Linked DNA regions of Coturnix japonica. The protein of the gene in region 2 interacts with the protein of the main gene of each other region in a pairwise test. Links are inferred from orthologs where the notes say so. Each region holds a gene or a part of one and is shown on either strand. Other genes may lie near its edges.

What was found. The genes of interacting proteins can lie anywhere in the genome.
Region 1: the proteins of YAE1 (region 2) and LTO1 interact in binary tests that used the Homo sapiens proteins (3 or more experiments, as listed by UniProt). The link is inferred for Coturnix japonica from reciprocal best matches to the Homo sapiens genes YAE1 and LTO1.

What each region holds. Positions count from the first base shown.
Region 1 is NC_029520.1:7,242,327-7,248,527, forward strand, and holds the start of LTO1 (protein LTO1 homolog), read left to right. Parts: upstream 1-2,392; 5' UTR 2,393-2,481; coding exon 2,482-2,540; intron 2,541-2,613; coding exon 2,614-2,719; intron 2,720-2,742; exon of another isoform or gene 2,743-2,938; intron 2,939-3,278; exon of another isoform or gene 3,279-3,463; intron 3,464-3,750; coding exon 3,751-3,821; intron 3,822-4,842; exon of another isoform or gene 4,843-4,865; coding exon 4,866-4,983; exon of another isoform or gene 4,984-6,201. Other genes in the region: FGF19 (fibroblast growth factor 19), read left to right, coding at 346-678. UniProt on the Homo sapiens protein: The complex LTO1:YAE1 functions as a target specific adapter that probably recruits apo-ABCE1 to the cytosolic iron-sulfur protein assembly (CIA) complex machinery. May be required for biogenesis of the large ribosomal subunit and initiation of translation.
Region 2 is NC_029517.1:76,798,475-76,804,634, reverse strand, and holds the start of YAE1 (protein YAE1 homolog), read left to right. Parts: upstream 1-2,026; 5' UTR 2,027-2,127; exon of another isoform or gene 2,128-2,191; intron 2,192-2,252; exon of another isoform or gene 2,253-2,363; intron 2,364-3,503; 5' UTR 3,504-3,597; coding exon 3,598-3,822; intron 3,823-4,754; coding exon 4,755-4,876; intron 4,877-6,160. UniProt on the Homo sapiens protein: The complex LTO1:YAE1 functions as a target specific adapter that probably recruits apo-ABCE1 to the cytosolic iron-sulfur protein assembly (CIA) complex machinery. May be required for biogenesis of the large ribosomal subunit and initiation of translation.

The sequences.
Region 1 (6,201 bases), on a different chromosome or scaffold from region 2:
TCCGTATTCTTGACAGCCATGAGAAAAGACTGAAAGGTAGCAAATACAATATATATTAAGCATTCACTTATCACTGAAGGCTGAGGCATTGTCAGCAGTCTCCTTTTGCTGACCAGGAGTTCAATCACCTGCAGTGACTGTGCCTGAAACAACACCAGCGCTGCACCAAACGCAGTGCTTGTGGGAAGGTGGTCCTAGATCCTAATGGGAGGTCTCTGCAGTATGTCACAAATGTACTTTTACAAATGCATACCTAAGCAAATAGGCTCTTCTTCACACAATCTTAACTGAATGCAGTGAGTCTGGCAGGCACGTCTGTAACTGGTTTTACTCCTTGCTGTTCAGCTCAGCTATTCCATCGAGGACTGTTCCTTTGAAGAGGAGATTCGTCCAGACGGCTACAACGTGTATAAATCAAAGAAATACGGAATATCGGTGTCTTTGAGCAGCGCCAAACAAAGACAACAATTCAAAGGAAAAGATTTTCTCCCACTGTCTCACTTCTTACCCATGATCAACACTGTGCCAGTGGAGGTGACAGACTTTGGTGAATACAGTGATTACAGCCAGGCTTTTGAGCCAGAGGTCTACTCGTCGCCTCTCGAAACGGACAGCATGGATCCCTTTGGGATCACTTCCAAACTGTCTCCAGTGAAGAGCCCCAGCTTTCAGAAATGACTCTGATTGCACACATGGTTTTAAAGAAATACCACAGAATGTTGCAGGTTTTTAGCTTTCTGTGTAGTGATGTCATGTCTCAGGATGGAGACAGTCTTTCCCATACAATGTGTTGTACCCATAAGAGCAGAGTGCCCAGGTGCCATATTTGAAAGAATCACCACTCCATAGTATACTTGGAAAAGAAAAATTAAATAAGAGCACCTAAAGAAAGTTCCTCCATTCAGAGCTCCTCCATTTGTGTGGTGATGATAAAATATATAGTTTTTGTATATCAAATTCATTACCACATATGTTCACCTGTTGTTTCTGCTCTATAGACATACAGGAAATCTTGCCGTTCACAGGGAAGTTCACAACCTTGTAGACAAACATTTGGAACAAAACACAATTAAGGAACACTGAACAAGTGTGGTTATGTGAACTAAAGTTAGTACTGTTTATTGAGAAGCTGCTGACAAGCTTCTGGGAAAGCTTTCTGTTGAAAGCATACCACTGAAAAACAGTTCTGCTTACATATTGTGCTTTTTCTTCCCTCAGGAAAGAAGGGAAGAAAGGAAAATACTTCTTCCCTCCCCTATTGCTAAGGGATACCTTGGAAAACTGGTGGTTTATTTTAGAAGCTAATTTATGTTCACTAGGGGATCTGCATCATCCAGCATAGACTTGTCTTTAGTGCTAATGGGAATTCAGCACATGGGTAGGAGCGTATACAGAACTAGCATTTGTGTTCATCTGATAGGAATGAGTATTCCAAGTTAGAGTCCAGATATAGGTTCTGCTGTATATACTCATGTATGTTGTTAGCAAATAGAGAGAAAGTCTGGAAATGGATGACGTGTGGGCCACATCGGTTGCAAAGAACATTTCTGTGTTTTACCTTTAACCGTCAGCAACTCTTTTTAAGTCCTTCCAGGCTTGATTCTGCATCAGTTGAAACCATGGAGATACAGTTCAGTGACCCAAATGCTGCAGAACTGAGCTGGCCATGCCGTGTTTCTTGCAGGAAGGGATCATGTGGATCTCATGACCAAAAAGCATATGTCTGGTGTCTTCAGTTCTCTTCTCCCCTTGTGACAGTTTAACAAAGGAATAACCAAAGAGAAACCAAAAGAAGACAAATGTAAGAGTTCAGGGACTCCACTCATTTCCAAAGGCTCGCTTATAATAGAGATTTCTATACAAAAAGCTCTACTGGAAACACTGGTGTTCTTCTGACCTAGCACTTCATTGCCAATGCAATATTTATAATTAATTTATTAAATACATACCTCTGTTTATTTTGTTACTGTTATTTATGCTCAAGATTCTATTTATATACTCTTGAAAGCAGCTTTTTTTTTTTTTTTTTTTTTTTTTTTTTTTTGGTTTTGTGAACTTTTGTAATCATTAAATTGTTAGGAAACCATTTTTAAATCTCCGTTTTAGTGTAACTAGTGTAATACGTACAGTTGCAATAAAAAATCATTAAAAAAGCTACTGTCAGTAGCTTCTGTATTATTTAACATATAATATATTATATAAGGAGATAGCGAGGATCTCTTTTTCCACTCTGGGGAGGTGTGGAGGGCTGTAAATCCTTTATTCAGGCCCTGAGGGTCAGTGCTATCTCCACTCCAACTACTGAAACTGTTTGGAGAACTTGAGTCCCTTGGCACCAACGTTGCTTTGCCGCCCCCTGTTGCTCTGAGGCCGGCGAGGCGCTGGGCCTGTTAATGGAGTGAATAGGCGCCTGCGCACTAAAGCAACGCGATATGGCTCCTCCGGCTCGCCGTCGCCTCCCGTCGTGCTGTGCTCGGCGCAATGGCGGCGCCGTCTTCATCCTATGACATGTTTGATGAGATAGTGATGGCTGAGGACAGGTTGGGAGCCTTCACGGGGCCATGGAAGGGAGGGAGAGCCGCTAAGTGTATAGCCGTGCATCTGTCCTTGCAGGTTTCACGGGGAGGGCTACCAGGAGGGGTACGCTGAGGGAAGCCACGCTGGGGCTGCTGAAGGGCGGAGGTGCGGCTGTCTGCATGGTGCCAGGGTTGGCTCTGAGGTAAGGAGATATCCTCAGTGTGACAGTGGGGAAGAAAGGCTGCAGCTACTACGCTTCACGATGTGAGGATGTGCCCAAATACAGCAGCCGTGGGTGTAGAAATAAAGGGCAAAAAATAAGAACCTGCCTACCTTTAGAAGGGCCTCAGGTGGGCAGGGATCTCCAGCAAGATACCCTCATCTCCACTACCAACCCTTAAATGAGGTCTGGGAAGGCTCACTGTCATAATAAGTAAGCAAAAATACAATTTAGGTGATATTTGAGCTGTCAGCCTATTGTCTGCCTTGGGGAAAATAATACTAACCTGACAAGGGCTTGCTTGATGAAGAATTAAAATAAGATGTTACAAAATATGTCTGTTTTCTAGCACGCCCCTATCTAATAATAATATTAGATACAGTGTGTGCTTGGGCTCAAGCAGAAGATTGGTACTGCACCCATGTGGTAGCACATCACTAATTACACAGAGCAGATTGCTGCAAAGCATCCATGGACCAGCACCCCTAGACCACAGCAGCTTGGTGCAACATGAAACAAACCTGTTGGTGTTTCCACTTACCTGTGGTGTCCAAACGGCTTTGGTGCATGCAGATGAAACCGCCTCGCTTTCTTTTATGTTTGAGTATTTATGGAGATGTGAGCTCCCAAGCACATGTATTTTAACATACACAGCTCCCAGAAGAATAAAGCTCCCAGATGTTCCCACTGTAACATGTAAACACTGGTGGAGGAAGTTCCTTTAGCCTGCAAACAAGTCCAGTTGCGTCTTGTAAATTTGTGTCTTGTAAAAAGTGACAAGTGCATGCACAGATCGAAGTAGAATTTGGCAATAACTCAGTTTCATTACTTTTTTGTTTCAAAGCATGCGTACTGTTTCCTGAGCCTTTCAGTGTAGAAATGCATTTGTATATGCAATGACTTGTTTTCTGAGGAATAAGAGAATGTAGAGCTTTAGTTCTCTATGACTACATTTATATTTAATATGTTTGGTTTTTTTTTTTTCCCTTCATGTCATGCCTAAAAATTCACAGATTGGCAGCTACCTTGGATTTGCACTGACCTGGCAGCATCTGCTCCCAAAATGTACAGATGATAAGAACAGGTAGGGTTTTCAAAGTATGAATCCTATTCCTTTAATAGTTTTTTCAAGTTATGATGTCCAGTTTTGCCTCTTCTTCAGTTTAAAAAAGAGGATACTGAAAAATAGAGGGGTGAGCAGATGGTGTCTGGGATGACATTGCAGTCTGGACCATCTGATGCTGAAAAGAGGATAAGGAAACTTGGTTTCATCAACCTGAAAAAGAGAAGATGGCAATGCCTACTTGTACTGCACAAGGGGAAGTTCTAGAGATGCTTTCCTTGCTGCATCATGCAGTGGTCCCCCAGTTAGCATTTTTTGTTCTTATAGATACAGTCAACCCATCATCCAAGACAGACATTCATGTTAAACCTCTGAGGTCCTCTTCTGAGGGAGCTGTAATTCACCATCAGTAATTAATCATAGCTTGTTTCCCTAAGCCAATTAGACATGCAAGGGAATTAGCTTGTCATAGATAGTTCACGTTGTTGGTGATGGTAGCAATCTTTGCTTTCCATGTCTGATATTTTATGGTCTCTGCATAATTTATTATCTCTGCAACAGAAATACATCTGCTAAACTTCTAGGTGCCCCTCTCTCTTTTTCTAACTTTTCTCTAGTTTTCTATACATGTGCAGGCACATACACTTCCAGATATCAATTATTACTTTCCTTTGGTAGACCTTAAGAGTTTTTTCTGACCAGTTTTGATTAATTTGAACAAAATGCCACCTTGCTTTCAGCTATCTCAATACATGTTCCAGTGAGCTTTCTTTCTGCATTTATTACACATAGTCATCTAGTTGGTAGTTCTACATTTCCTGACTAAATGTCTGTTTTTGGCAGGTAAGTTAAGAGGAAAGCCTTACATTTGATAGTTGTACCAAACTTAGTTTCTGATTATGCTGTAAATTATGCCTTATGAGTTAATTTGAATGAAATAAGGACAGAAGGCTGGATTTTATGCTCTTGATTTTGAAATACTGATACAATTTCCACAGTGACAAATGTAAAAGACTTCTATTGGAGGCTTATTGTCACTTACCATTTTTTGTGGCTTTCTTTCAGTAAAAAGATGAGGGCCCTGGATTCATTAATAGGAATGATACAGAAGTTCCCATATGAAGACCCCACTTACGAAAAGCTTCAAGACGACCTGGAAAAAATCAGAGGGAAATTTAAACAGGTTTGTAGGATTAAGTTGTTATTTTTAGCACAAAATAGTATCGCTTTCTGCAAATATTTCATCTCCTTTTGCAGTCAAAGTAAAAATGCTTTGAGTCAAAAATTCCCCAAACGATAGCAAGTGCAAAATAAATGAATAACATTAAATAAATGGAGAATTGAATGGCTGGTATTTAACAGTGAATTACAAGCAGGACCAGAAGAATAGAAACGGAGGAAACAGTAGTTGTGTTGAATTTCCTTCAGGAAAATGGATGCTTCAAAACACTCTTGTGTATTCTTTTTTAGGTTTGCTCAATGCTAAATATTCGATCTGATTTTAGAGTCAGTACTGAAAGATCTTCACTCACTTTTTGAATATAAAAGCTGAAGATAAACATGGATGAAAAAAGGCGTATTGAATAACAGATAACCTGAAAAGCGTTTGTTTATTTTAAACAAAATCCAGGTAGCAATGAGATGCTAAATAATTAAAGTGGTAAAGAAAAAGCACAAAACATTTGATGGTTTCTTATATTTGTCAAAGTTTTGGTTGGTTTTTTTTTTTAATCTCAAGGCATTTAGTATTACAGAAACACTAAACACCTGTTAAATGGAAGTATTTGATTTGCTCTTCACCAGCCTTGCCTTAAAAGGAAAACACGCATATGCATTCTTAAAATAAGGAAGATTTGCATATGTATGCTTTTTAAAATCTACATATGTAGATCATTCATTTTACACAATGAGTAGGTTTTTTAGATGAAGGAAAATTGAATCAGTTGCCTACAGAGTTTGCAGTAGTGAACACCTGTCTGGATAGAAAGTGGTGGAATACAAACGAAGAATGCAAATGAAAAAAGGTTAAGATAGCACTTCATGATGTAGCTGCAACTCAGAGTACAAATCTTGTGTTTTTTTCTTTACTAATTTTGCAGACTGATCCAAACATACAAAGCAAACACAAGTAGACCCCAAACCCAGCAATTTAAATTACCAACAATAGAAACATGGCTACTAGAAGAGTTTTGAGGTTGCTTCTTGTGCCCACAAAGAAGCAAAATTGCTTCCAGCAGATCCTTAGTAATACTAGGCAAAGAACCCACAGGAACACCAATAGTCACATACAGAAAAAGAAAGAGTTAAACTCACCCTGCTAGTGAAGGGGAGCTCCGGCTACACAACACCCCTTCTCAGTAAGCAGCTTAGGCCCAAGAGATGCTCCCTCTTCAGTGTCTGG
Region 2 (6,160 bases):
ATAGCCTAGAATCTGACTAACCTCTAGATATCTGGAAAATACAAGCATCTGAGCATATACAGAATGCACATTGGGAGGGATTTACAGATTAAAATTTCTCAGATATATCATACAATACTTGATGAAAATACATATACTTTTTATTAAATATTAATAGTCATTATTCTCCTGACATTTCAATATTCTATTCCTCACCCATTATATTTTAATCTTGTTTACTGCAGAGAACAAGTGAATACTGATTTAACAATGTTCCTGAAATCCGTCTAAATGCCATCCAAAAGATGTAATTTTTTAAAAGGATTAAACTACTTCCAAAATTAGAGCCAATGAGACATTGCTGTGTTGGTTCAATACAATAAACAATGTGATGCCAGAGTAGAGAAGTAATAAAAGTGTGGGATAACTGACAGCGTAATCTCATTGCAAATAGTCTTCTTTCCTGGGCCCTTCAAAAGCCTTAACTCAATTCTGCCTGAGACAGCAGTATACTATAATAGAAATCACTCAACTGAAGATTTGATCATCCTGTCCTGCAGAGTAGCCCATACACAACACAAGTCCTGGCTACAGTAAACAACCACCCTTCAAAAAAGTCTGAAATCCCAAGAGGTCCTTGTGAATTATGAGGAAATCAACCGGTTCCTCCTTTGAGTTGGGTTAGAGGCACTGATGGCTGAAAGATGAGCGTGTGTGATACTGATCTGAATGGCAGCAATCCTTTATCAGAAGCATTATGCACAGTTATAACTGTAAAGGTTTTTACATTCATATACTTTACTTTTGGATATCTCTGCTGGCTGACTGCTTAATGGCAGCACTTAACACTAAGATCAAACTGATAAAAATCCTTCATAGTCTCATAGTCTCGTGCGGGTTGGAAGGGACCTAAAAGATCACCGAGTCCAACCCCCCGGGATTCGGGCCTCTGTGTAGCAGAGCGGCAGTTCTACCACTTGCGCCACAGGGGGGATTCGAACCCAACCCTAAGCTGTTGCAACGCGGCATTTCTACCACTGCGCCACCGGGAAACACAATTCCTAGTCATCTCCAAGAATGCCTTAACAATCCTAAGCTCTGCACAATTGTGTAATGGCCCCCTGAAAACTCCCCCCCACACCCTCCAGGTGAGCAGAGAGTAACTGCTGAGCCAAGCATTTATGGTTCTAAGGTACCTTTGTATGCCAGATATCTGACTGAAATTATCCAGATTTTAATATTAGAAATGGCAATGAATCACAAATCAATTCCTTGTTTATTTTTCACACTGTGGGGGGGGGATAACTCTTCTTATATACATATTCTGCAGAAATGCCAGAACAGTTCTGTAGCCTGTGAAATATTGTTCATGTGTTTTAATCCTCTGGTATGTGTCATTGCAAAACATCACCATAATACCCAGATGTTGCTTTATGTAGAACACACACAGGTTAGGAAAACGCCCCCACTCTGAGGCACTACACCTCACTCTCAAGCCCTGCTAGTAGTCATGTCAAGGCCGTCAGCATACAATTAACTTGTCTTCAGCAAGTACACTTCATAATCCAATAGTGCTGCTCTGTTTACACAATATGAGTCACTAAATTATCTGCTTCTAAAAGAAAGGGATGGGAATATGAGCCTTCATCATTATTCCTCATATGCACAAGGATTTGTCCTAAACAGACGTGTGTAGAATTATCAACCATGGTAAAATTAAGGCATTTAAACTGAGATAATCTGAATATGGGAAACTCACACTGACTCTGAGGTATGACTTATACACCTTTCCTAGAATATCAAGCAGCTGAGGGTAAAGAATAAGGTGATAAGCAAGAAGTAGGGCCGGTGCAGCAGCCCCGAGCAGGAGCACCCACATTCAGTCCTGCCATTACAACCACGCTCGCACTCCCTCCATGGGGCAAGGTCCTCCCTCCCCGGCCCGCCTCCTTGCGGAAGCTGTAAGTCTATGCCCTTACTCAAGATGGCTGCCGGCGTCCTGTGACTCAGACGGACTTGGAAGTCACGGTGCTGCTGATTAAGATGGCGGCTTTTTACGGGCCGCATCCGGGGCAGCGAAGTTAGCGTGCCCTCAGTCAAGATGGCGGCCCCCTGCGAGCGGAACAGCGCCGTGACTCGGCGGCCGTGGTGAGGGCTGAGGGCGGCGGGGACTCAGATGGCGCCGGCGAGGGGGGATTCTGGCTGCCGACAGGTCGGAAGAGGGATAGATCTTCTCGGTCCTGCAGTTTGTGGGGAGCTGCGGCGCCAGCCCGGGCTGTGAAATGGCGGGTTGTGGCCTGGCCGAGGGGCCTCTGCCTGGAGTCCCCCGGGCCAGGCTGTGCCTCCTCCCGTAGGGCCCTCAGGTTCCTCCTGCTGGTCTCCAGGTGTGCCGGGACGTGCTGGCATTGGGGGATTGCGGGCCTTAAATGCTGTTGGTATCTTCTGCAGTCAGTATCACTCTGAAATCTTATCATAGAGAACCAGGTGTACAGCTCTCTCATCTATCCAGCTCACTTTTCTTATGACATACCGAACAGTTTCTTCCTTCCCGCACCTGCTACCTTACACCATTAATTGCTGCATTTTGTTCTCCCTTCTCTGCTCTTTGTGTAGGGGCTATTTGTGAAACTCACTTTGGAGCTAATAAGCTGTCACTTAATAGAGATGGTTTAAGGAAATATAACATCTGGTAGCAAGTGCTGTCTTGCTGAATATCTTGAAAAATAATCTCTCAAGCCTGAGGTACTGTTGTAAAGTTGTATTTACTTGGATGTTTTCACCACTTTTTGATTGGACATTGGGAGGGATAAGCTGATTAAGCAGTCAGTTCACATTAGTGAACTTTGTGTATAAGAAGAACTGCAGTTCTTGGACCAGTTGTTTAACTGCTTTAATGCTTTCCAAAAGACTCTGTGTAATGGTACTGGAAATTCTGGAAGATTTGCTTAAGATAAAAATTGGATATGATGAACCCAGAAGCGTGATTTCACCACACTTCCTTGTATCCACCATTCTGTGGGTTGTAAGAATTTGCTCCAGTTAACTGTGAATGGCCTCTTAAGGTCTTATCAGTTCCTAAGATGAAGTAATCACATTATTTATTCATCTCTTTACATCAGAACTTGCTAACTAATTATTAAAAAAAAAAAAAAAAAAAGTAATATTTTTATTCAGGATTTACAAGCATTAAGCATCTGGCAGAGTTAGGAAACTGAAGATCAAAGGTGCAACTCATCATCAGTTGTCAAGATCACAATATTGCAGGCAATTAGATATGCATATAATTTAATGCACTGCTTAGAAGCTGCATGGGACTATTTGTTGGCTGCTATCAAAATTTTATAGCTCTGGATAAGTGTTTCTGTCTGCTGTTCAAGTTACTAGCAACATATAGAAATGCTAATTTGGTGCACTTCTGTTTGTTGCTGACATAAGAAGCAAAGAAGGGAAGAAATTAGTCTTAAGTTGTCCTTGTAAATCACACAAGGTGCTTTACTGGTAATAATTTCTGTCTCCTTTGACAGATGAGCTCCAGTGAGGAATAGCATCCAGTTTTCACATGGAAATGAATGTACAGGTTGAATAATCATCCCCTGATACGGCTTCTCTTCAGAACTCATGTTTTTTACTTTTATTTCTAATCTGACACTTAGCTGGGAGACTTCTGAGAGTTTCTCAGTATTTGCTTTAGGCCATAAACAAAAGTTAAGTGTCATCACTGCTGCTATGTCCTGGGTACAAGTTGTAGCTAGTCGATCCAATGAGGACATATTTGATGAAGATGCAGATGAGATGTATCCAGTACAGAAAGAATGGAATAACACCATGAAAAAAAGATTGAAGGTATTTCTCTAAGCATGATTTTTATAGTCTTTTAAAATATTTTAGGTTTACCAGTAACATATCTTGCTAAAAATATGGCTGATTTAAATGAGAAAACTAAGAATGGCTGTATGAAAGTTATTGTGGCTTGGTTTCTTCTGAGTGTTAAAAAAAATTTAAGAGGAAGTTACTATCTTCAGTAGCCTGTCAGGACAAAGTAATGTTTTACCAAAAAAGATGTTGACTCCCTCTACACAACTATGTGCATTTCTGAATGGCAGTGCTAAATTCTCATGTAACCTACTTGCTTCATACTTGTAGGTTAATTGATGCTAACAAAGAATAGAGGATATTTGTTGGTGTTTTTTTGTTGGGTTTGTTTGTTTGTTTTTTTAATATTTGGTGTGAACTACTTCAGGTCTGAGTAGTTTTTTGGCTTATTTATTATCTTAGTGAAAAATACATTTTATGAAAGCAGAGAACAAAACAAATACATAAACTTGGGTTTCTCTGACAGATGTTTTCATTCAAACTGGGCCCACTAGGGCTTATCTTGTGGGTGAAGAACATAAATGTATGGTAATGTGATTAGAGGAGAAAGAAATAAATTTCAATTCTCCAAGGAAACTTTGTTAAGGGAGTTGGTCAGCACAAAAGTAAAAGTGCTTTCCTGTAGACAAGTCTTTATTTTCTGACTTAGCTGGAGGTTTGTTTAGAAATGAACTGCATGTTAACAGATCAGCAGCATTAACAGTAAATTATAATGCACTGTAAAAAATGTGTTTTGCTTTAGCAGTGGTGTAGTTGAGTGCAGTGTTCAAATTAAAAAAAAAAAAAAAAAAAAAAACTTGGATTTAAGAGACTAAGTGCTTAAGGTTTTTTATTGTTGTAGAAGTGTTTGTAGGTCCAATTCTGCAGGCTGTGAAAAGTGTGTTTTACCACTTCTGTTATAGGAGGGCTATAGAGATGGTGTTGAGGCTGGGAAAGAGCTTGCAATTCAGGAAGGCTTCAATCAAGGTTATAGACAAGGTGCTGAGCTGATGGTTACGTGTGGTCAATTCAAAGGGACCCTGAAGTAAGTTACAAACCTCTTAAGAGTCTGTCCGCGTGAAAGGTATGTGTGGAAGATGCACGTGCATATGTGGTTGTGCTTGGGTTTTTGTTGTTGTTCATTTTTTAATTTTAAAAGTGCTTTATAAGTCTATCCGAAGCAAGCAGCATGAGAAGTCTTAGCTCAGGTTTTGAATACAGGGAATACAAGTGCAGGAAGGCTTATACTCCCAATGAGCAATGCAGGCAGGCAGGTAATAACAGATAAGGAGAAGGTTGAGGTTCTTCCTTGCCTCAGTCTTTACTGTCAGCTGCTCTTCATACATCCATTGAGTGGATGGATTGGATGGTGGGGACTGGAGGAACAGTCTCCCTCACACTGTTAGTGAACATCAAGTTTGCATCCACTTGAGGAACTTGAACATCCAGATGTGCATGGGTCCCATTGAGATGCATCCCAGAGATCTGAGTGAATAGGCTGATGTAGTTGCCAAGCCACTCTCAGTGATATTTGAAAAGTCATGTCAGTCAGGTGAAGTCCCTGGTGACTGGAATAAAGGCAACGTCATGCCTGTTGTTTAGGAAGGGTAGAAATGACCCAGGGAACTACTGGCTTGTCAGTCCTAGACAGTCTTGAGCAGTGAGTCCAGGTGAACATCATAAGGTTCGATAGAGCCAAGTCTTGCACCTGGGTCATTACAACTTCCACTATCAATACTGCTGGGGGATGAAAGGTTGGTGGGGGGGAGTAGTGGTGGATGTCAAGCTGTACGTGAGCCAGCAGTGTGTCCTTGCAGCCCAGAAAGGCAACTGTATCACCAACAGATTGCGGGAGTTGGTCCTGCCCTTCTACTGTGGTGAGACCTTACCTGAAGTACTGTGTCCAGATGTGGAGCCTTGAGTAAATGAGACACACAAACCTGTTGGAACACATCCAGAGGAGGGATACAAAACTGATCAAGGGATGAAATGCCTCTCGATGGAAGACAGGCTGAAATAGTTTGGATGGTTGGAGAAGGCTCCAGAGAAACTTTATAGCAGCCTTTCAGTATCTAAAGGGGGGCTATAAGAAAGAACAAACTCTTTAGCAGGGTCTGTTGTGATAGGACAAGGGGAAATGGTTTTGAACTAAAAGGGAGGATATTTAGACTGGATACAAGAAAAAAGGTTTTTAGAATATGTGTTGAAACAGGTTGCTCAGAGATGTGGATGACCTGTCCTTGAAAACATAAAAGGTCAGGCTGGATGAGGCTCTGAGCCACTTGATCATCAAGCAGGGGGTGCTTAAATGACTTCTAAAGCTCTTTTC